Alligator mississippiensis: one gene and its partner. The protein of the gene in region 1 binds, or shares a complex with, the protein of each later gene. Links are inferred from orthologs where the notes say so. Each region holds a gene or a part of one and is shown in the gene's direction. Other genes may lie near its edges.

Region 1 (7,368 bases):
ATGATTATGACATCAGGACCCATACCAAACTTCTTGTTTACCAGGCTGCCATTGTTCCTATGCTGTTGTATGGGTACAAAACCCAGACAACATACCAGAAACACCTGAAAGGTTTGAAAATTACCATCAGTGATGTCTTCAGAAAATTCTCTATTTCAATTGGAAGAACAGATGCTAGTATTCTAGTTCAAATAAATTCTACCAGCATTGAAGCTATGCTTATATGACTGCTGTCATGACCCAAAGGTCTGATTTTTTTGTGTGTGTGCTTCGGCACTCGAATTATCCCCGTGGGTATACAGCTTCATTGCACGGAGGAGTTCTGCTGCACAGAGAACCTGCGTGTAAAGGAGCGTTCCAGCCACTTTGCAGCGATCTTTGCAGGGTGCATTTCCTTTGCAACACAGAAATGCACGGTGCAAAGAGTTCCCACTCGTCGTATGTAAATTCGTGCCCTGCAATTGGCTAGTTCTAAATTATTCACACGTGGCGGCTAGCGATTGGCCTGCTAGCCGTATAAGAGGCTTGAGCAGTTTCCGCCCAAGCCGAAGAGGACTCCGCATCCATCTCGTGCGGACTCTGGGTGTGCGCGGCAGGGTAATAGAAACCCTGTGTGTTGCCCAGAGGAGTTTGGCGGCCTGATCCACCGCCCACCTCTTCCCGTCTTCGAACGGAGCCTACTATAAGACGTACCGACGAGTTTAATGTGCGCTTGTCCTGGACATCTGGAGTTCTGTCTGCGTGGAGCCTAGCAAACTCCACGTGATCGTTCGTGTTTTGTCTGCGTGGAGCCTAGCAAACTCCACGTGTGTTCATGTTTTCTGTTGTAACCGCAACTCAAGCAAGTTCTCAGCCTGCACCGCGACCATCTCGGTGTAAGTAAAACAATCTTAAAATCAACCGTTACGTGTCTGTGCCTAATTCTAATTCAGCGACCTCCCTCTCCGACCCGGCCTGCCCGGGCTGCCGGCCACAGCCCACATGCAGAGCGACGAAAAGGGCCCGGGGCCTGACCTGGCCCGCACATGGCGACGAGGATGGGATCAGGATCACCGCGGCACATGGCGATGAGCTCAGGAGAGGGCTCGCTAGAGTTAGAATTAGTTGAGAACTGCCCTTGGAGAAGTGGGAGACGCAGCGTAGCAAGCATCGGAGAACTGGAGGCGCACCTCGTGTACCACCAGGCGGGCAGAACGGGCAAGAGATGTGTCTGTGGATACCTTTCGTTAAGGGGAGAAGAGGGAACTCCAGAAGTTGGAGCCCTAGAAGGGAAAGAAATATATCTTCACCCCGCGGCGTTGAGGTGTATCATGGCCGATGAGCGGGTCCTGTACAGGCCCCTCGAGGCTGTGACCCTTGCTGAAGTCGACCCGGCGAGCGCAGTAAGCCCGACCCCCACCCGGGAGTGTCTCCTTTGCTCACGGTGTGCCCGAGAGATGGGAGAGACGATGCCAATCGGCTGGTTTTCCCCTTGTATGGTGGTGCCCAGACTGAGGGGTCAAGATCGTCTGTCCGAGCTCCGCGAAGACCAGGAGACGGAGGACCGTGCCGTAAATGAGAGAGTGGTCCTACAGTGCGACAAGGGGGGAAAACTAAATGCAGCTTTTCAGACTATGACTGATTTAATGAGTGAAACTTTAAGCTTAAAGACCCAGCTGCATATGGCCGTTCGGGCAGTCGGAGAAGCGGCTGAGAAAGGGGATCTTAAACTGCCCCAACAAGATGGCACCGAGCAGAGGGAAGACCGCGTGGAGGAGCCGGAAGTGAGGGATGGAGCTTTGGGAGAGCCCGCGAGTGTTCGGCCGGTAACTCCGCCCAGCGACGCAGCGTCGGTTCCGCCGACCACGCCCCTCTGCCGAAGGGAGGGGGAGTCAAGCAGAGGAGTGCATCCGCCCCTCCCGCCTGAAACAACAACAACCCCCACTGTAACAATGACTACAGCTCCGACAGAAACAGCAACAGCAACGACAACTCGCGAAGAAACTGATCAGCCTGCAGTACAAAGCAGCCCAGTCATTGGTCCGCAGAATGCAGTTCAAGCTACCACCTATTACGCTCGTTCCAGAGCCGAACTGCAGAATTTGTGTAGAGAATCCAGGATCCGACCCGAAGAAACTCTGGCTGTGTGGTTGGGACGTCTGGTCGTGGAACTTGGGTCCGACCTCCTGGACCAGGAAGAAGCAAGCTTCTTGGTGAGACAAGCTTCATGGAGTAGGGGACATGTCACTGACATCAACATGGTGGCATTTAGCGTCCACTGGCCTATTCCGATTCCAGCGCTTGTGGCAGGAGTGATTGAACAGAAGGCCCACGCATGGCACGATGGCCGACCAGAGCATACCAGTGCAGAACAGCTTGTACTAACTATTATCGGAGTTTCGTATTGCGCCTGGAACCCAAGAGAATGCATGTTGGGACTAACACCGCTCCAACGAATGCGACCGTGGCCTCATCGTCACCTGCGAGACCCTGGAACCGTTCCGGTGACTCTCGACAGCATAGATAGTTGTCTTAAAGTTTATGGGCAAAGAAACATCGTGGTTTTGCGGATTGTGCTGAACCCACTGGTCGATCATCCTGTGAGTAGTCTCCTTCATCAGTTGTCAAGACTGCACGTCCTAATGGAGCCAAGACTATCCAGTGATCGGGAGTATCAACGCCCGACCGAGGCTCAGAACACGAAACACCGCAAATCCGAGCGTCCAGTATTATGCCAGAGAACGCAAGAGGAGTCATACATGTTTGGATACCTCCTGCAGCGCTCTGGACTTAATAAGAGACAGCTTCGGATTTTAGGAGATGCGGGACAATGGCAGCTAGCCTACGAGTTAGGTTTTCACTATCTAGAAGAAGGCGACGACGACTCATTGACGATTTCGTCGAGTTGCTGAGTCGGAAAAGAGAAAGAGCTGTCTAGTATAAAATCGTGTTTACATATTTGTATTTAATAAGTAATGATAAGTTTAATCGACTGCATTATCGTGCGGTCCTGTGTGATTTGTGAATAACCATTTTGAGAGAGTTCTTTTACAGATCAGGGATTCGGAGTGCGTGGTGGAGAGAGGCCCCGAGAAGGACAACATCACCAAAAGGAACAAAGGCCTGACGCGCGATTCCACCATGACGCCCACCGAAGTCATGATCGTTCAGTTTTTTGTTATGAATGTAATTTTATGTATATGTGTGTGTGTCGGTTATTATTTGATTCGATCCCTTGAGGACGAACTTTTATTGTTGACTGATTTTGTTTTTGCTCGTTTAGTTTCGCGAACCATTGACAGAGCTGTTAATAACCCGGATGATAGGTTTGAAGTATAATTCTATTGTGCCTTCAGCAAGGGGGGATGTCATGACCCAAAGGTCTGATTTTTTTTGTGTGTGCTTCGGCACTCGAATTATCCCCGTGGGTATACAGCTTCATTGCACGGAGGAGTTCTGCTGCACAGAGAACCCGCGTGCAAAGGAGTGTTCCCGCCACTTTGCAGCGATCTTTGCAGGGTGCATTTCCTTTGCAACACAGAAATGCACGGTGCAAAGAGTTCCCACTCGTCGTATGTAAATTCGTGCCCCGCAATTGGCTAGTTCTAAATTATTCACACGTGGCGGCTAGCGATTGGCCTGCTAGCCGTATAAGAGGCTTGAGCAGTTTCCGCCCAAGCCGAAGAGGACTCCGCATCCATCTCGCGGGGACTCTGGGTGTGCACGGCAGGGTAATAGAAACCCTGTGTGTTGCCCAGAGGAATTTGGCGGCCTGATCCACCGCCCACCTCTTCCCGTCTTCGAACGGAGCCTACTATAAGACGTACCGACGAGTTTAATGCGCGCTTGTCCTGGACATCTGGAGTTCTGTCTGCGTGGAGCCTAGCAAACTCCACGTGATCGTTCGTGTTTTGTCTGCGTGGAGCCTAGCAAACTCCACGTGTGTTCGTGTTTTCTGTTGTAACCGCAACTCAAGCAAGTTCTCAGCCTGCACCGCGACCATCTCGGTGTAAGTAAAACAATCTTAAAATCAACCGTTACGTGTCTGTGCCTAATTCTAACTCAGCGACCTCCCTCTCCGACCCGGCCTGCCCGGGCTGCCGGCCACAGCCCACGTGCAGAGCGACAAAAAGGGCCCGGGGTCTGACCCGGCCCGCACAACTGCCAGCTCCATGGACAAGATATGTTACATGGGTGCCTGACAACTGGCTCCTAAAACCGGTCCTATACTCCCAAATGACTGACGGTCACCACTGTAGATGTGAGCAAAAGATATTCAAAGACACCGTGAAGGCCAATCTGAAAAAATGTGACATTACTATCAATAGTTGGGAGATGTTAGCACTAAATCACCCCCAGTTGTACCGTAATGTACAAGAAGGTATCAATCACTTCAAAAAAACTCATCTCATCTTTATCATGCATTACCTAATTACGAAGTACATAAACTGTCATTCTAAACGAAAGAGTGTAGAATAAGGTCAGAATATCCTTAGTGTCAGGGCATGGAATTAATATCAGCATGTTCCTCATGTGAACAAACTATCAGGGTCAAAATAAATCTTTTCAGGATTAGACAGTTAAAAAAAAAACGATGACTGGGCGTGGAGGGTTCCATCTCCGCATTTGTTTGCCCTCAGCTAGCTTTGTTTTGGCCCATGTCAGCAGGGACATCAATGTTTAATGTCTGTTCAGCTACCTGAGTTCTTGATCCAGATCTTCCACTGATATCAAGAAGCACCAGTGGGTGCCCCACACTGTCTATAAATCAGACCTCACCTAGGTGCTTAGAAATAAAACTACCACCTGTGTTTAAACACACATTTTAATACATTAAACATTGGCCTGTTTGTGCCTTCAGAGAATGTCTAAACAGACATTTGCTACCTAAAACACTGAAAGAAATTAGTTGTTATGGTTTTATCTGAGAACAAGCAACTCATCATCATTCACTGTCCCAGTCTATAGTGGAAGACACAAGGATTATAATTTTATAATGAAAATAATGGCATAAATGCAGAAACATACCTATATACTTTCCACGTGATAAACAATAAATTCTTATTTTGAGGCAGCTCCCTAACTGGTTAAAAAAGGAAGTCAGAATGACTCGATGAGAAAATGTTGTTGTAGCCATGACAGTCCAGAAAATATACAAGAAGCCGGGGGGGGAAGAGATTGTTGATATCTTTTATTGGAGCAATTGGGAGAGATGTTAAACAAATGTTCAGGCACAAAGAATCTTTCTTCAGATGACAAGAGAGGAAATTTTGCATGTTCTGCACCTTTGCCCTACAGGGCTAAAACCTGCAGTTTTTCTCCTATCTGTCCTTAGTATGGAGTCCTTCCATGATATAAAATTTAGGGTGAGCAATATAAAATATGAGACTATTTTAATAGTTTCTTCTTTATTTTGTGGAATTCGCTTGTTTTAACTATGAAACAAAAACATTAGAAAATACTAGCAGGTTACTAAGCAGTCTGGAGGTGTTGTAAGTGTTGTGATTACCAGTATCAATAGTATCAGGTACCAAAATCAAGATAATGGACATGGCTCATGGCTTTGTAATGCCAGTTTTAGACTGGCAGACCTCTACTGAAGCCAGTAGAGCTACACTGTCACAAAAATAAAGCAAGGGGCCATGGGTCTGCTGACATGAAGTCCTGACTTTGAATAAGGACTAATTTCATAGACCTTTTCTGCTTGTGAGGAGTTGTCAGCAGAAGATCCTGGACTGCTCCAGAGCTATCCCGTGCTGAAATAGAACTGTCCAGGTTTCAATATTTTTCTTAAGTCCTTCATTCACTGGCACTTTTTGACTGGATAATCTTGTCAGCTTCCACAGAACTGACACTCTCTTTTCATACCCAACAGGAATTTAAACATCACTGGACAGAACTCAGAGGAACCACACTTTTCTTCTATAACGATAAGAAAACCACAATGGTGAGTAGCACTATGGGCTAATGTGAAGATGTTTGAGCAATTTCGATAGTACTTATCATCAAGCAAGAAAGCATGTGTGTGAGAACTGCCTCTCTCAGTTCCATCCTCCCACACTTTGGAAACCCAAAGAGCAGAAAGCAAGCCCAGAAACCAAAATGCCTGGTGAAGTCATGGGAAGTGAAATTATGATACAGCAAGTTCTTCCTCACCACAGTCATTCAGGCTACACTGAGCATTTGCTCTAGGGATGAGATCTATCTGGAGCTGCAGCACAGGCAGGTGGACTATCTTCTTCAAGGTCACCCAAGAAACACAGAGGCAAGAATAGAACACAGATCTCCTGAGCCCATCAAGTAGTCAATCCACTAGGACCCAATGGGCATTTTTAATGGACATTAAAGATCACCTTGTTCACAGCACTTAAAAGCAGAGCTAAACATTCCCTCCTTCATTGTACAGCTGAGAAGCAGCTGTTAATCTATATATGGTTTTCAAAATAGTGGGGGAAAATGCTGGTTGAAAGATGCTATTATTATGATACATACAGCATGTATATCCTCTTTATCTTTTGTACAGGCTCTTTGACAGAAAAGCAAGAAATTCTACTCCAGTGCCAAGTTTATGCCTTCCTAACACAAAATTTCTGCAGATCAAAAACAAGCACCAGTATAACAAGAATTATTTAATACCCTGAACGGACACAGCTTATCTTGCTTGAACTGTGTTTGAAACCAAGCTCCACAGTTGAAGGCCCCACCACAGTTTTTCAGAGCAGTGTGCATAGGGATGTATTTTTTCCTTAAAACCATTTTATAAAGGGCCTGATTATTCTCTCCCATGTGACTAGAATATTGTTGTGGCCCCTTGACTTCACTAAAGTAGTGCTTGATTTATGCTTATTTCAGTGAAAGATGTAAAAGACTTATTGCTCTAGGTTGTCCTAAGAGCATAGTTTACAACAATGTCATAACTTAGCTCTTAAATAAAAAATTTCAAGCTGCAGTGGTTAGCAAAACTACTGCAGTCTCGCCAGCAACAACTTTGTTCAATGAACATGACAGTAAAGACTGTGTTTTACAACCACCAAGAGTCTATATTAGGCCAGCAGTTCCCAGATAAATTGTTGGAAGAATCAAAACCCTCCAGCAGTACGTTTCTGCAACATCTCCCAAATGTTTCACTGTACAAGATGTGTAAAGAGAGGGACTATGATAGTGAGAATTTTCCCCCTTTATAGTTTTTCCCTGCAAGCCCATGCATGAATCATCATAGACATCTTCTTAGGACTCAAAAGCCAGCCATAACAAGTAAACTTTGTTTTTAAATTCCAGAGGGCATATTTAATTAAGTAATCTGTTTTGCATATAGAGGTTGTAGCTGAAGTTGTTTACATCTCTATACAGGAAGTATCATCTTAATGCCGTATTTCCTGGCTGTCTAAT
Region 2 (7,375 bases), on another chromosome or scaffold:
ATCGAGAGGAGGTGGATGGGATTCCAGGGATGACTTCAGTGCTGGTATCAGTATTTATATTCTTACTGAGAGGCAGCATAAGAAATGCAAGAGTTGATAAATGAATATGTCTTTACATTTTGTTCCTTGGTTGCTCATTGAGAATCAGATTTTATTGCATTATAACTTGGTCATCTGAGTGGGTTTTAGCAGAAATTGCTAGAGAGCAGGTTTCCATTGGCATAGGCAACAGGATAAGGTAAGGGTGATGGTGAATTGTATGGAATAATCTTAGTTTGGAGGAAAGATGATGCCTCCTGAATGTTGAATGCAAAATGTGACACCTGGGAAAGTATTATTTTCAGGGTGTAATTAGGAAAACAAGGTAGTCTTTTAATCTGACAGACAAAATTAAGTAATAGAACTTGCTTCTGAATAGAAGCAGAAGGTGGACCTTGATGTAAGGCCAATATTAACCTTTTTTTACCCCAGGTAGAAGTATGTTTTCATGTTTTCTTCAAACGAAAGAGTCAGAAATGACTTCTCTCAAAAGATCAAGTTTACCAAACAAAGATTTCAATAAATATTTTGCAGAACTTTTTCCATGTGTGTGGTTTTTATTTTGTTTTGCCAGTTTGTTGCAAACAGCAGCAGATGACAGAGCTTGTAGAGAAAATAGCTGGTGACAGCCTGCAGCCATTGATTGATTGATTGATTTACTTTAATTTTTTCTACGAATGGATTTTACTTCAAAACAACACCTTCCTGCTTGGGGTGGGGGTGGTGTCATCCAATAACTGTTCAAAGTCCTCTGTGAAATGGGTGGTGGGTTTGGCCCATTTTCTGGTGGGGAGATGCTGAATGCAAAATCGGCACTTGTCCATCTCTGCATGAATTGAATGGATTTGTGGTACAAGGAGCAGTTAATGCAGTTGATCTGTTCCTGTAGGTTGAAACTGAAGTATTATTTTTGAAGCTTCAAGTAGGTGAGAAGCTTGCAGTGCTAGTGCTTGTACTATACCTCGTTTGCAGCCTGGAGCACATTCCTGTCCTAATTTGTTAGTCTGGTACCTTTCATTGAGGATATTTCATTAAAATATGGAATCTTTTGCAGCCAGTTAAATGCTGAATGGATGACCATAGTTCGTGGAAACCCTGAGGCAATCAGAAGTTTGCTATTCTTTGGTTTTCAGTAATAAGCTTATTTGTGAAACTGTCCACAGTTATGGATCACTAACTGAAATGTACAGCATGCTTTGATCTTTAAGCAATTCATAATAGACTAGTTCATTAGCTGAAATGACTTTATGGCAAATACTCAGTTAAATGTTTAAATAATTGGGTGTAAGTTGTTTTATTTGGTTACTACAGAGTCTTAGCTGAAGCAGCACTGCATTGCTCCAGCACTGGCCTTCCCAGCTTCTGCACATGGTGTGTAGTCATCTGATCTCTTCCCAGATTAGTGGTAGTGACTGCAAGGAGATCTTTACTTGTTAGTACATCTCCAGAGCTTGCTACCATTTGAATGTGAGCATGGCATAAATATCTAGCTGGGTAAGTAGCTTCTGAGCTGGATGCCACAATCTTGGGAAATATAGCAACACCAGTTCAGATGGAGCTTGTGGCATTTTTTTTTTTAAACTTTGACTTGTTTTAAGGGTTTATGACGTGCTGGATTTGATTTTTAACAACAGATAAGGTGACTTGTGTTGAAATCTGTGGCAACCTGTTAGATGCTGAATGGATGATGATAGTTCACTGAAAAAACCCTCAGGCAGTCAGAAGCTTGCTATGCTTTGGTTTTCAGTAATAAGCTTACTTGTAAAACCATCCAAATAAGTTTTGTGGTAAAACCAGTGTAGTGTTTTGGACTGACTGCAGTGGCATTGACACGGTGTTCCAGACAGCCGGTAAGACATCATTAGATTTGGAATATGGCAAAAACACACTGTCCAAATTCAACATCTTCCTTCTGCAGGCTTCAGAGATGATGACTTCTTAGGAGGCCGGGGCAGAGGGACTCGTACTGGAGATCGGCGAACAGGTCCTCCGCTGGCAGGGGGAGGGACTGGCCGCTTTAGAGATGGACCTCCCCTCCGTGGGACTTCCATGGACTTCAGAGAGCCAACAGAAGGTAGAAAACACCATTGAAGAACCTACATTCCCCAGTAAAACTAACGTAACAGTCTTTGCTTCCAATTTTTAAGTTAATGTCCTCAATGGCAATTTCACAATCTTATTTTTCTTTTTCCAGAGGAAAGAGCACAGAGGCCCCGACTTCAGCTCAAACCTCGAACAGTTGCTACCCCCCTCAATCAAGTAGCCAATCCTAACTCTGCTATCTTTGGCGGAGCCAAGCCCCGAGAGGAAGGGGCAAAAGAGCAGCACGACTGAGCTTGGGGTTGAGAGGGAATGGGAGTGGGGAGGGGTGGGGGGGGAGGGGGGGCGGGCAGGAAAATAAGCAAGACAGCACAGAGTGACTCGCTCTGCTGGAACGTCAACCCTGCAGTTACCATTCCTGCCATCTGACATTGTCCTCTTTGAAACCGAAAACACAGAGCTTGTGAACGCATGTCAGCTGTTAACAAGTGGTTTTTAGTACGTTCTTGGCTTCGCTGTATCTAGTGCCTGCTTTGTGCTGAGTTTTCCCTCTTCTGTTTCCTTCCAAGCAGCACAGTTTCCAGTAGATCATTTAGTAGCTGCTTCCACCTGTGTGAAGGTCCTGCTGGACAAAGGTGCTGCTTTCCTTCCTCTTCTGGGTTTGTTTTACTTTAGAAGCATAGGTTAGACTTGGTTAATATCCTGTGCCATTTCCTTTTGGCTTCCTCAATGCTCCTTTTCTGTCCTGCATGTTTTGTTCTGCATTGCTGTGGCTCTAAAGAGGTAAACTGAAGAGCCCTGGCAAATTGAACAGTTCAAGTAACTTGCACAGCCCTGACCCTGTAGAATTAGGTGCTGCCTGTGACAGTGGCTAATAGGATTACCACATACCACAAGAGCACTCATTCTGAAAATAAAAGTCCTTTTAGGCAGTTCACAGGGAAGAGACTGCTTCTCAGCAGATAGAAGTAAAACGATTTGCAGGCAGGCCTAATTAGTTAATGACATTTATATGAAGAAAGCACTTGCTTCAGTAGGCATACCTCGAGGGGAAAGATGCATCCCACTATTATGTAACTGGCTGTCTACAAGTAGTATAATGTTACACTCTTGAGCTTGAGGTTGGTGCTATAAAGCTGTGCCTATTCTAGCACATAACTGCTGACTGGCTCTTTCTGCTTGTAATTTGAGTTTCACATGTTTGGTAAATTTTTAAAGTAAGTTTCTACAAATAAAGTTGACTTCTTTTTTTTTTTTTTTTTTTGTTTGTTTGTTTGTTTAAAGAGTGTATAATTTGCCATGCCATGTATGTCTGTCTGCCACCATCTTCTGTACATCTTGACCCAGTCGTGTACAGCTGACAGTAATTTTGCTTTTGGAATGGCCTCTAAAACGGGCAAGATTTGAATCTTTACCTCCTTTCATGATATGAATTCTGCTGCTTGGTGTGTAAAGATTTTTGGTAATGGTTTCTCCAGACAACAGTTGCCTAACCTCCTTGACCCTCAAATGCACTGTTGTCAGGGTTGATGAGGGCATGTGAGAAAAGCGATCCTGAATAGTTTGTAATGTTGTAAAAGAAAAAAAATACAAACCTTGGAGCTGTAAAAAACTGAGAAGACAAGTCCAGTGTGAAATAACTCTTGGGTTCCTAACATCAGTGCTGACAATTTTCAGATAGCAGGCAAGCAACAAACATACTAGAGTACCTCAAAGAGGACATGAGTTGTTTGAAAGCAAGGCTGCTTCAGTACCAGCTCCGTTGCTAGTACGGTATTCTTTTCCTTCCTGTTAACCTTTTGTAACATCAGAGTCCCAGCAATTTACAGAACTATTCTTTCCTTCTTTCTGCCTATCACTTAATCTGCTTCTGACATAAGAACCATTTGTCTAACACTAATACTTAAGTTAAGACAGACATGCATTTGTGTGGTTGTATTCCAAACCAATAATATTTGACCTATTTTACATCATCAATGTGGAAAAGATTTTAAGAATGAGAAAGCTCCCATATAAAAGCTCACTTCTAGTCAATACAGTTGACTTTTAAATGTAAGGAAAAAAAAAAAATGGAAAAAAAAAAATTCCAAACACTTAACACATTCTGCTTCATAACAGAAAGTAAATTTATGGATATGGTATTTTGTGAATGATCTTTTAAATAAAAGAAGACATTAAGTAATACTTAATGCTGGTCTTTATTTCTGTGAGTCTCCTACCTTGTTTCAGTCCTCTGCAATATAACGTTGTTTCTGAAGTTTCTCTCCATCTATTTAACAAAGGAGAACATTGTCAGTATTGGACATTTATGAGAACTCGGGTATACCATAAAGTCCAATAAAGATGAATTGGGGAGAGATTCTCATCTAAACATAACTTTTGGGAGCAAGTAAGAATGGCACACTAGTGATCACTTTTTTGGTAAATGCATCTAAATGCTTTTGTTTAAGATCATTTTGCCTAAAGCAATCCTAGTTTTCCTTCTCTTTGACAAATTTCCTTATTGGAGTAAATAGTCAAGGATATTAGATGCAGAGCAGCACTCTTTCTGCAGAATTTGATGTATTACTTGGTTAAAATCTGTTTTTTTAAAAAAAGGCTTTGTTCTAGTCTTCTTGCAGGGCCTCTCTTAATCTAGACTAAGGCAAAGTAATCAGCCCTATCTGGGCATGTCTGTGAACTGTTTGTGGGATTGATCTTGCCCGAGAAAACAAATATTTCACACATTGATTGGACTCGGGTAGTGGGGGAGGGGACAGTTATAGCAGTTAAGTAAAGGAGAGTTGGGAATGATTTGGAGGAGAAGGCTGTAAAATTCAAAGCTCCAAGATGATTGGCTCCTGCCAGGTCATCTTTGTGACTTGTTGGCTGCAGTGGAAAATAGCATGCTTGCTTCTGTGGGATAAGGTATTTTCTGTGCTTACTTTGATATCATGGTACAAATCCATGTCCTAAGCACAAAGTAGGAAATAGTTGAATTGTTGATGAACTTAGTGGTATAACCTGTAGTAAATGGCATTGATGTGGATGTGAAAAACCTTCAGTTTCTCTGGGGAAATGTAGAAGTTTTGCGTTGTAAATCAAATAAGCTGTACTGAATTAAAAAAAAAAAAATCACTTCTATTTATTACTGGGACTTGCCATGTTAGTGTGTTACTTCTGCGGAAGCAGCTCATTGTTCAGGTGGCAAACTGACCATGATCAACCTGTCCAACCAGGGGATGTTTCCTATCCTCAGTGCAGTGAAACCCACCTAGTACAGAAGTCTAATTCTAAATTGAAATATTTTTTGTGGGGGGGAGAAGGGCAGGGGGTTAAGTTGCAATAGGTACTTGAAAGAGAAATCGACTATCAAATTGTTTCTCTTGTCCAGTTCCTTTATTTTTGGTTACTGGGGTTTTAAGAGCAGGATATCCTTATAGCAAGATCCTTGTCTTTAGAGTTGTATATAGTTTTGCTGTCCTGGAAAACTACAAGTATTCGAGGGCCCATATGTCTTGCCTAGCTTCTGTCACATTGTGAACATGAGTCTGGAGAAAGAAGGTACTGCTTTGCAAATTTTTCAAGATGCTGGCAGACTTCTTTGTGCAAAAATTGCTATAGTTTGGCCCTTTGTATGTTTTGCTCAAGTTGAGTTTGTATTGTATCTCTCTTGCGTACAGTATGTTGTCCTTGGAGAAAGCGATGCTAGTGAGCCTTGGTATAGGGTGTTACAAGATAAGTTAGCTGTTTACTTTTAACTACCATCTTTGGCATTTCAAATGTTAACACTGCAGAAATTTCCTTGAAGTCAAGACCTGTGATCTTTATGGTGACAGCCCTCAAAATAAAGACTGAAATCTGTCACTGCCTTGTTACTTTGCCAAGTACATAATAACACTCCTGACAGTGCTCCAGCTTGGTTTCTTTGAAAGTGCTATAATAATCCCAGAAAATGGTGCTCTGACCGTTACAGACACTGAAGAGAGAGATGTGAATAATTTGTTAGAGTTTTGCATCAAGTCAAGGTTTGAAAGCAGGCTTTAGTTTCAAGAAGTTGCTTTCATTTTTTTTCCAACAGAACAGTATTTCTTTATACAACTGAATGTGTAACTTAGTATGCAGAGACCAGGATAATGACAAGCCGCAAGGAATTGACATTTTACCCAAACTTCTGCTGGGCATGCCAAAGTTTGGCAGATATAAAAGATATTATACAACTAGAAGCTTATGGAACTTAGTATAGGGAATCATTCCAGAGCAGAATGAACACACGTGTCCAGTTAATCTTGCCCCAACACAGTTTTGGATTAGGCTGGTATTTTCCACTTGATGTAGTTTGAAGCAACAAAGTCTAATCATGGACATTTTGGCAGGTGGAGAAGCTTTTGGTAACGTGTTCATGCCAGCTGCCAAATTCTAATTGTATGTTCAGAGAACTATAAATTGTTACTCGCAATTGTTCAGAACAAGACCTATTGAAATTCCTGCAAATTCTGTGCAGAGCAGATTTAATAGCAAAGCCGGCTTTAGAGCTGGCAATGTAGCTGAATCAGAAGGGTGAGTGTCCAATGACCTCTTCATTGGAAGGTTCTGGCGTGCGCTTTCATGATCACCCTCTGCTGTGCAAAGCTCTGAGTGCTGCTGCTACGTGATTGGTGCCATCCTTACTATGGCTAATACATGATCCTCTTAGAATCTGTCCCCTGCTGCAGGGGCCAAACCCATCAGGTGCCTGCATTCAGTTTCTAAGGCCAGATTTTATGTCATTTATTTTAAGCTAGTCTATCTTCAAGTCTTTACTAAATGCATTTCTGTCATGTTTGTTCAAACGCTCGCTTTCAGTAAGCATGCCAGCCAAATTTCCTGTGGTTAGCTGCTGGCTATTTTCTTAGGGTTGTGTTGTAAAGGCCACGGACTTAATTTGTTAGCAAATTTCAGTTACCACTACAGGCATATAGATATGCAGGATATATACATCAGTAAGTTCTTATTTCCTAATGCAGAACCCAAGTATCCTATTGGGGCACTTGCAAACATTTGGTTGGCTTCAGATCGTGAGTTGCCTTCCTCGGTATAAAGTAGATTAATGCTTGTACTTAATTCTGGAAATAGGAATTTTGCGTAAGTGCTTAGATATTGAATTGCTTTTCATTCTTAAGTGTTTAGTTCCCTGCTGGCTAAATTCCCCACGTTACTTGCAATTTATTCTGCTCTAGGATTTTAAGGAAATCAATTTGTCCTTCAGTGAACTTTTGAGAGCATCCTGTACTATGTTATCTCGGCCTTTCTGGCTCTGGAGAATTGGTACAGGATT

Evidence for each region.
Region 2: the proteins of STAP1 (region 1) and LAT2 are in contact, whole or in part, in a crystal structure (PDB 3MAZ), measured with the Homo sapiens proteins. The link is inferred for Alligator mississippiensis from reciprocal best matches to the Homo sapiens genes STAP1 and LAT2. Residues at the interface, in NP_001304698.1 of Homo sapiens: Arg184, Arg203, Pro204, Gly205, Ser206, Ser212, Ile215, Gln217, Ile219, Lys225, His226, Tyr227, Lys228, Glu239, Leu240, Glu241, Tyr255, Phe256, Glu259, Thr260, Arg261, Asn263, Leu264; in NP_054865.2 of Homo sapiens: Asn134, Ser135, Tyr136, Glu137, Asn138, Val139, Leu140, Ile141, Lys143.

The regions. Positions count from the first base shown.
Region 1 is NC_081825.1:133,207,128-133,214,495, reverse strand, and holds the start of STAP1 (signal-transducing adaptor protein 1), read left to right. Parts: upstream 1-4,348; coding exon 4,349-4,360; intron 4,361-5,854; coding exon 5,855-5,926; intron 5,927-7,368. UniProt on the Homo sapiens protein: In BCR signaling, appears to function as a docking protein acting downstream of TEC and participates in a positive feedback loop by increasing the activity of TEC.
Region 2 is NC_081837.1:13,846,216-13,853,590, reverse strand, and holds the start of LAT2 (linker for activation of T-cells family member 2), read left to right. Parts: upstream 1-4,353; 5' UTR 4,354-7,375. Other genes in the region: EIF4H (eukaryotic translation initiation factor 4H), read left to right, coding at 1-44, 1,958-2,113, 2,234-2,373. UniProt on the Homo sapiens protein: Involved in FCER1 (high affinity immunoglobulin epsilon receptor)-mediated signaling in mast cells.